2 linked regions of the Caenorhabditis elegans genome follow. The protein of the gene in region 1 purifies or fractionates together with the protein of each later gene. This does not show direct contact. Each region holds a gene or a part of one and is shown on either strand. Other genes may lie near its edges. The genes, in order: ksr-1 and ndk-1.

Region 1 (5,110 bases):
TCTAAGAACAAATTATTTTCACAACATTTTTTCGAAGTAGATGAACCATAGAGAACATTTGAAAGATGTGCGGTATTTCTATGTCAAATTTGCTGGTTCAATGTGTATCATTACACTACATTTTAAAAATTTTAATTTGAATAAAAGAATAAGGTTGATTTTTTAATTCTCAGGCTGCTTAAAGTATTAATTCTAAAATTAACAAATAAACCGAAAACGACGTTTGAAGGCGGACTCCGATCTGCGGGGGAAGTTTTTCAAAACCATTCCTATGGTACAAAAATAATCAAATATACCATAATAAAATTATTCCAAAAACTTTGGAAAGTTTTTTTTATTTAAAATCAAAAAGCTCAATACTAAATGGTCACCAGTTTTTGCGGAAGTCCTCCATCATAAAATTTTCCATTTTTTATTTCAATTACATTCAAAATATTCAAATTTTAAAATGTATGGGGTTTGAACATTTGACAGTGATTTAAATTTTCAAGAAGTGGAGCAAACTCAGTATAAAATATGCTTCAAAATTGTTTTAATAAAAACCGTCTTGTTTTTTTTTAATTTTGCAGTTACCATCTCGGGATTGATTAAAGTTAAATTTTAAAGTTTGATTAAAAAATGTCAAATTACTGGTTTTGAGACTATAAATTTTTATGAAAATAACTAGAAAAGTAAGGAATTTTGAGAACATTTTCAAAAAATAACAGTTGCAAAATTTTCGTGGCAAGAATTATTTTCTTCTACATTTTACTTAATACAAATTTTCAAATTGCCGCACACTTACCGTTCCAGTGATTTTGTAAAATCACTGTAGATTGAAGCAACTTTCGTTTGGTCTCCACATCAAGACGACCACGATCCGCAAGCGATCGCAACTGAAATAAACTTTTATGTTTGGGTTCAAATGTTCAGAAGGCGGAGCACAGAGAAACTCGGTTAAAAGTAATGAAACGAGCAATAGAAGTTTGATAACATGCAGACAAGAGTGAAAACAACTCGTAGAAATGTAACAGGTGTTGTTGGAACACGAATGACGTTACCGAGTATACGGAGGCAATGCAAAAAAACAAAAACGTGTATGCTTTGGATCGCTAAAAACAATGAATGTTCCAGAAATGCTTCAGCATAGTTGTTCTCACAAAAAACATTCATTCAAAATCAACTCTAATATTTTGGCCAATTATCATATGAAAGGCCACTTGAAGTTTTCAAGTTTTGTTTCGAATTCAAATTTAACAATTGATTTGTTCAATGTTGTTGTAAATTAAATGGTAAAGTTATCTTAAAAAATTTGACAAATCAAGTTTTAAAAAAATCTTCAATGAAAAAAAGGAAATTTTTAAATCTGAAAAATTACCAAACTAGTTGATTTGTCAGATAAAAGTAAGACAAATTTCATTTCGAAAAACACTTCCTGCTGCAAAATGACTAAATGAAAAGTCGAAACTCAAATTCAAACAATTACGAAATGAGATGATAAAAATCAGTCAGATACATGACTTATGCATGTGCTAGCTGAGAGAAAGTTCGTGAGTCTTAAAAAACAACAATGAGCAGAATATCAATAGGTAACAATTAACCTAATCCTCTTTTTCTGTTTACTCTTCTTTTTTTGGATAACAAATTAGCTCACAAAAATCAGGAAAAAAACGGAGAGAGCTGCAGTTTTCTGGCCTCTAGAGAAAGAGAAGAGTGGGAAAGGAAAGGAGAGAAATGCAGAAAGTAGAAGGTGAAAAGAAAGAAAGAAGAGACGGAAACAGAAACGGAAAAACGAGAGGGAAAGAGCGTCAAAGCGCACTCCCAAACACCCCAAACCAATGGGAAGCGTAGAGGGAAATGAAAAGAAGTTTAAGAATAAAACGATAATGTTGAAGGTTGTGACCCGAATCAGCAGAAAGACATTTAGAAGGATATAGATATGCCTAGAACCCGATTTGTGAGTGTTTGTATGTTTCTGTTAGGTGTAAAATCAGGAAATGATGTGTGAGAAAAGAGAGAAAAGGTAGAGCAAAAAAGAGAAGGATCAAACCTCTTGGTTAGTGATGCTGAACAGAGCATTGAAATCGGTGATCGAGCAAATCTCCAAGTGCCGAATGTTTTGTGCGCTGAGCCCGACAAATGTGAACCAAATGGCGTTGATCTCACGCTTCTCGCGATCAATCAAACCAATTTTTGTCATTTGATAAACGGCCGAGAATATTTTGCGCTGTAAATTGAGAATCATTGGAATTTAGTTGACGTCAATGAAAGATTTCAGACCATTTGTTTCAGGTTGTTTCACCTTTTCATCTGTCTCTGATATCTTGATTACTAAAATTCGTAGAAAAAAAGAGTTACATTCACTTAAAGTTTTTAAATCTATTTTTTAAAAGCTTTGATATTTTGATATTTTTTCATATTCAAAATATCATAAACTCACTAAATTTAAAACATTTGAAAATCAACATTTGTTTGAAAGTAAGTTTCAGTTTTTCAAATATAACGATTAGCGTTTCATGCACGAAGTTGTGCATCTAAATTTTTAATTTTTTAAATTTATTATCAAAATACCATTATAGAATTTAATTATACAAATAAACTTTACAGTATAAACGGAAAACGTCTAGAAAAACGTTTAGTACCACAGATTGGTTTACCACAAAGATCTAAAACAATTTGGACTGAGGTGTCAATATATGTATAGTGTATTTTATGAACAAAACTTTAAAGCATCTTAAAAATTTTTTCTGCTGAATGAAGACTAGTCTGTCTTGAATTCATTTATTTACAGTTTATAAAACAACGATGCTCACGAATAGGAGAAGTTTGAATTTTTACAAAAGTTGTTTTTTTTTCAAAAAAACTTACTTCTACACTTTTTGCATCTTCTTCGTATGATGAAGTCAAAAATCGATTGATAGTGGTAAGTTTCAAACATTCTGCAACTTCGAATTGTTTTTTTTTAAATTTTTTTTACTAACCCTTCAAATTATTTATAGCCTGTGTCTTTATATCCTGTGCGATTCCTGCACCAAACTGCGGTAGATTACTGTATCCCGCACGTGATGCAACTTGGGTTTGCATCATTCTGTGTATTGATATTATTGGTTAGTTTTTACCTTCTCCGGATCTTTTCCCTGAAATAAATCTTTCGTTGGTTGAGCACAACGTTCAAAAGGTTGCCAAGAAAAAACAGTGCTGGTTTTTGGTCAACTTTTGGAAATCCCCGGTGCAAACGGAGCACGCTGTGAGCTCACACGTGCGCCACACTCTTTTTTGCTTGGTTTCTCATTTTGTGTATGTGTGTGTGTCGTCGCAATTATCAAATGGCTCCCTGTGAGCTCATCCTTCGTTTATGTATGTGTGGTAGTGGGAGCAGGGCAATACGAATGTATTTGGTGCTTTAGAAAGGCGTTAAATGACTAGAAAAGCAAACGAGCAAGTAATATTGAAAAGTGCCGAGTTTTTTCTGTTAGTATGGTTTGCATTCGTACTGTAAGGGAGCAAGACAATTAGAGAAAATATGTGTATGCCCCACAGTACAGTCAGAAATTTCAATTCATGAGTTAGTAAAATCTACAATATTTTCTTCCTACAAATTCCATCACAATTGGATGTTTACAATTCAAAGTCAAATTGCGATGACCAATATAAGTATGCTTACAGTTTGTTTACTATTACAACATCATCTACTCAAAAAAGGTGTGTATTAACCTTCTAGAAAAGTCGAAATCGTCCGGAAAGTAAATTAAAAGCTTTCGGCGGCTTTCTGCCATCGAAATTGTGAAGGTTGCGTGGCGAACAATTATGAGACAGGTTATGTACATTACTCAATTTAGAAGTGACGAGAAGAAAAGAAGAATTGGTATTTTCGACCACATTTTCTTTTCCGGTGGTTAGATTAGACTTATTACATCACAATGTCCCGATTTTTTTCAATGGCATTCTACTTTTATTTTGGCTTCTTTTGTTTCTTTAATTAGAATACTGTTCCAAATCCAATAATTGTACTCTACCAATATTAAATGTGTTTTTTTATTGAGTAGAAATATTCAACTATTTCACTTAAAAAATCGATTATCCTTTATCATCACTCCTAAGTAATTATAGTTTATCAATTTGAGTTTTACATTTTCCTAGCTTTGCGTATTAAAACTACCACAAATACAAAAATTAGGAAGCTTAACTTTTCTTTCTTTTTTAATTTTTCGCTTTCACATGAAATACCGAACAACAGTATGGCGCTTAAAAATTAAGCAATGCCGACCGAAAAGAGTAGTTGTGAGAAAAAATTGCCATAAGGCTTTGGTCGGAAGTTAAAAGAAACGTTGCATTCAAATACTGTTCAATATATTGGAGAAAATAATGCTAGAATGCTGAGAGTTGTGGAAAGAGAAAGAGGAAGAAAGATCGGCGTGCAAGCAAACAAACTGTTTGAACGTGATGAAGAGAAAAGGGGAGAACGGTGTGGATTGACAGTAGGAATAGTAGGAAAGGACGCAAAAATGTCGGGAAGACGGGAGGATGGGGGGAATAGTGTATGAATAAGAGAGAGAGGAGACTGTATGTCTATGGGGTGAGAGAAAATGGTCCGCAATGAGAAGACCACAACAGGTGTTCAAAATGTTGCGTAATCAACTTAAGAGTAGGTCAAGATTCATACCAGGAATGCATTGAACAAGCTTTTAGTTCCTGGTTTGCTGGCAGATCACAACTAATTTAGTGTAACATCTCGGCAAAGTCAACATTAAAAATGTTGTTCCTGCTCGATGAAAATTTTGAAAGTAATTATGGGTAGTTTGTTGAACGTGCCAAAAACTATGGTAAAGTTAGCCAAAAATTAGGGTAAAATATAAGTACTGAAGTAATAGCAATTACGTTTTAAAAGACGACTAATGGACCAAAATGTTTAGACTGTGTTTTAAAAAGAGACTTCTCAAAAAATGCTGTTTAAAATGAAAACCGATTGTATTTAGCAGAAAAATTTAAAGTTTACAAATTTATACGCGTCGCAGCGGACAACAAACATTTTTTGTTGAACTATCACTATTCATTGATTTTAGTCCTTTATTACAAATTTTATGATAAAAGACGTGAATTTGGATGTGCATTGACAGGCAACCAATTTCGG
Region 2 (3,578 bases), on another chromosome or scaffold:
CATATTAACAAAAAACTCACCACATCAATATCAGGTCTTGCAATAATCGTAGAAGTTGTCATTGTTGAATTATCGTCAGACATGTATTCTTGTTCAACAATAGATTCACGACGAAGAACAGAAGAAGAAACACTTCTAGTTGCACATAAAGGTTCCCGAAATGGTGGTGGAGTGGATGAAGAAGAAGATGGAATGTTTGGTATTACCACCTGAAAATTATTTGATTTAATTCTCAAACTATCAGCAAATTGTTACTTTAGAAGTCTTGACGAGATCCACGATATGATTAATATTAACAATCAATGCTAAATGTGTTGCTTTTACTGATAGAATCGTGGCTTGTGGGACAATACAACTGGCTCCACCTTGTTCCAGAAGTCTTTCGATTGATGTCATCTGATCCTTGCACATAGTTCGGTATGCTTCGAGTTCGGAGAGTTTCGTGGCAAAAAGCTTCGTTGATTCATTATCATCAGATTTTTGATTATTAGTAGCAAGAACTGAGGAAACCGATGGATTACGGGAATGACTTTTAGTGCTAGTCGAGCTATAATCCGAATCGTTTTGTACCTGAAAATTATTGATTTTCCCATTGAAGTTTTAACTTGATTTCTCTGATTCTAAAAGTAGAATTTCGAAGTGAACGATTTTTTATATTTTATAGCCTCGTACTATTCCCGAACTTTCAATTGACTTTTGTGTGCCACCGTCCGTACTATATATTTACACGGGATGACAAAATCAGGTAAAGATCAACAATGGTGTTTTTGATGTAAAAAGGAACATAAGAGAGGTGTTTGAACTATGATCGGAGCATATTTAAACGAAGAATATACAACTTTTTATCTCGTAATTACTCCGAGAGAATCGCTGGGGAAGTAATTTTTTGAAAAAATTATGTTTTAAAAATACCAAATTCAGATTCAGAAAACACTCACTGTTTCCCGGACAACTGATCGCATCCATAGAAGTTTTGACTGTGAATTCTCTGCTTTCAAATACCAGACAACGTTTTCGCCCATAGATATTGAGAATTCGTTTTCATCAAATTCGTGGGCCTAAATTTTTAAATATACAAGAACTTTCTGAGAAATCAATAAAAGCTCACAGCTATTATTGCACTTTTGAGAAATATGCTTCCTCTGCATCCGTGGGATTTTTCGGCTTTTGACAGATAATAAACAAGATTTCCCTCTGTGATTTCAAAGTATCGATCTTGCCATCCATTCACGTAGTTTGTCCATTTTTTCATCACCCCATTCGTGGGAAGGACACTGGAATGAGATAAATTATATTAGAATTTATCATTGAAACAATTTCTGTAATTTAAAATATCTACAAAACTCACACTTCGCTCTCCATCGGCTTCGTTCGCGAATCAGCAGGTGATAAATGATAAGACAGAGGCTCTCTTTCCGAGAGACTTTCCCCGTTTCGATACAGTTTTGCTCTCACTTTGTTCTGCAAACAAAGCTCACGGTTTGGTAGGCAAACAGTTAAATGGTAGTCGATGGCAGAAAAGAAAGAGTATAGACAACCTTACATTTAGTCGATTCTAAACATAGGGCGTCGAAGGTGGCGAATATGGGAGAACCGGTTTCCTTGTACTGCAAATAGTTTTGTGAAGTAGTGTCTGAAACGAAAAAAGAAATTTGCGGAGCCAGGTCATCAAGCATGAAATAAAGTTCGACGCGTAACGAGGCACAATAGTTTAATGGGAATATGCAGAGCGTTTGTGCTTGTTGCATGGAGACACGAAAAGCAGACATAAGTCATAGAACTTGAGACAAAGTGTAATAAACTATTTATGTCACACGCGTTTTTTCAGATATCAAATGCAGCGATTCACTTCTCAATGTGTTTTGACGTTACAGGTGACGTTAAATTCCGATTTTTGTTCAATAATCCCGATGAAATTTCATATGAAGAAAACCAGTTTGACAGAACATAATTCTCGCAAAAGGTTCAATTGGTGTCCAAAAAAATTGGTCGAAAACAGTGGTCAGTAAAGGCGCTCCATTGCAATTCTGGCACAAAGCCAAGAATGCTGCGAGGTCGGGTCTCGCCACGTGCTGAAGTACGGTTACACTCGTTTCATTTGTGTCGGAGTTGATTGAATGGGCGCCGGCGGGTTATTCTTTTCACTTGCGTTCGTCGCTGTCGCCTGTGCTGTTGACACCTGTTCCAAGTTGGATTGTCCGAAAATGAGCAACACTGAGAGAACCTTCATCGCCATCAAGCCTGATGGAGTCCACCGGTTAGTTATCTTTGAAGAAACTTATTCTAGCATCCTCAATGGATTTTAGGATTTTCAAAATCCTAATTTTTTAAATTTCAGTGGTCTCGTCGGAAAGATCATCGCTCGTTTTGAAGAGCGCGGATACAAGCTTGTTGCTCTCAAGCAGATGACCGCCTCCAAGGCCCATCTTGAGGTACGTTTTCACGAAATTACAAAATTTTAGGCCCAACCAGTTAAATTATTATTTTTAGGTTCACTACCAAGACCTCAAGGACAAACCATTCTTCCCATCCCTCATCGAGTACATGAGCTCTGGACCAGTCGTCGCCATGGTCTGGCAAGGACTTGACGTCGTCAAGCAAGGACGTTCCATGCTCGGAGCTACCAACCCACTCGCTTCCGCCCCAGGAACCATCCGCGGAGACTTCTGCATCCAAACCGGACGCAATATCTGCCACGGATCCGATGCCGTTGACTCTGCCAACCGCGAGATTGCTCACTGGTTCAAGCAGGAGGAGATCAACGACTACGCCAGCCCATTCATCAACTCATGGGTCTACGAATAAACTGATTGCTTATGTCTCCCGGTGTTTTCACCGTTTTCGTATCTCTGCTGAATGTTGATAAAGTATTGCTTCCCACCTAAAACATCGTTTTTGTTGACATCTATTCCTGCGCATTCTCTAATGCGTTTTCATGGCAACCAATCCTACACGACTCAGCTGTCATCAAATCTTTTATTCAACCCGAAAACGGAAGGGGATTAAACATATAATATATTCAGATGACTGCAATAAGTTATGAAAACACGAATTAGGATAATAATTTCAGCTTTTAAGCTCTGAATTCCGCCACTTGCACGAGTTTGTTGCTCAGATTTGTGTTATAGAAGTCGAACTCGGGATTGTCCAAATGGTTTTCGAAATCGGAAAGCTCTCGGTACAACTTCTTCTGAATAACAGCTTGAAGGCCACGCAAGAAGTTGGAACCTTGGAAAATCGTTCTGAAATGAATATACTAAATGAATATATAACATCAAATGTTTTTTCCTACTTCGTTTCTTTCCAACTATCTCCATCTTTTTCATATGCCACGAGGCGGTCTTGTTCACAATCTGACACCAGTCTTTCGTTCATCACTTGTACGAGAATCGCTGCCGAAGAGGTAACAGAAGATATTCTGTCGGCGAGTCGAGTGGCATAAACGTTGAGAGAAGTGTCCGATGGAGTTGCATTTGAGAAATAGACGCCGACGAGGGAGGCACCAAACTTTCCATGGACGAGGGCTGTGGCAAGTTCCAGAGGAGGTGCGAGTGGAGTGGATTCATGGCAAAGAGGAA

What was found.
Region 2: the proteins of ksr-1 (region 1) and ndk-1 purify together in Caenorhabditis elegans (affinity purification with western blotting, with the first as the bait; one study listed by BioGRID). This does not show direct contact.

What each region holds. Positions count from the first base shown.
Region 1 is NC_003284.9:8,273,175-8,278,284, reverse strand, and holds the start of ksr-1 (Kinase suppressor of Ras A), read right to left. Parts: upstream 3,117-5,110; 5' UTR 3,067-3,116; coding exon 2,961-3,066; intron 2,919-2,960; coding exon 2,848-2,918; intron 2,207-2,847; coding exon 2,030-2,206; intron 876-2,029; coding exon 785-875; intron 1-784. UniProt on the Caenorhabditis elegans protein: Serine/threonine-protein kinase which positively regulates Ras-mediated signaling probably acting at the level of let-60/ras or/and lin-45/raf. Involved in sex myoblast migration.
Region 2 is NC_003279.8:10,552,421-10,555,998, reverse strand, and holds ndk-1 (Nucleoside diphosphate kinase), read left to right. Parts: upstream 1-2,085; 5' UTR 2,086-2,204; coding exon 2,205-2,257; intron 2,258-2,338; coding exon 2,339-2,432; intron 2,433-2,490; coding exon 2,491-2,805; 3' UTR 2,806-2,880; downstream 2,881-3,578. Other genes in the region: cert-1 (Ceramide transfer protein), read right to left, coding at 21-209, 256-570, 939-1,058, 1,109-1,274, 1,349-1,362; F25H2.4 (MPN domain-containing protein), read right to left, coding at 3,074-3,242, 3,293-3,578.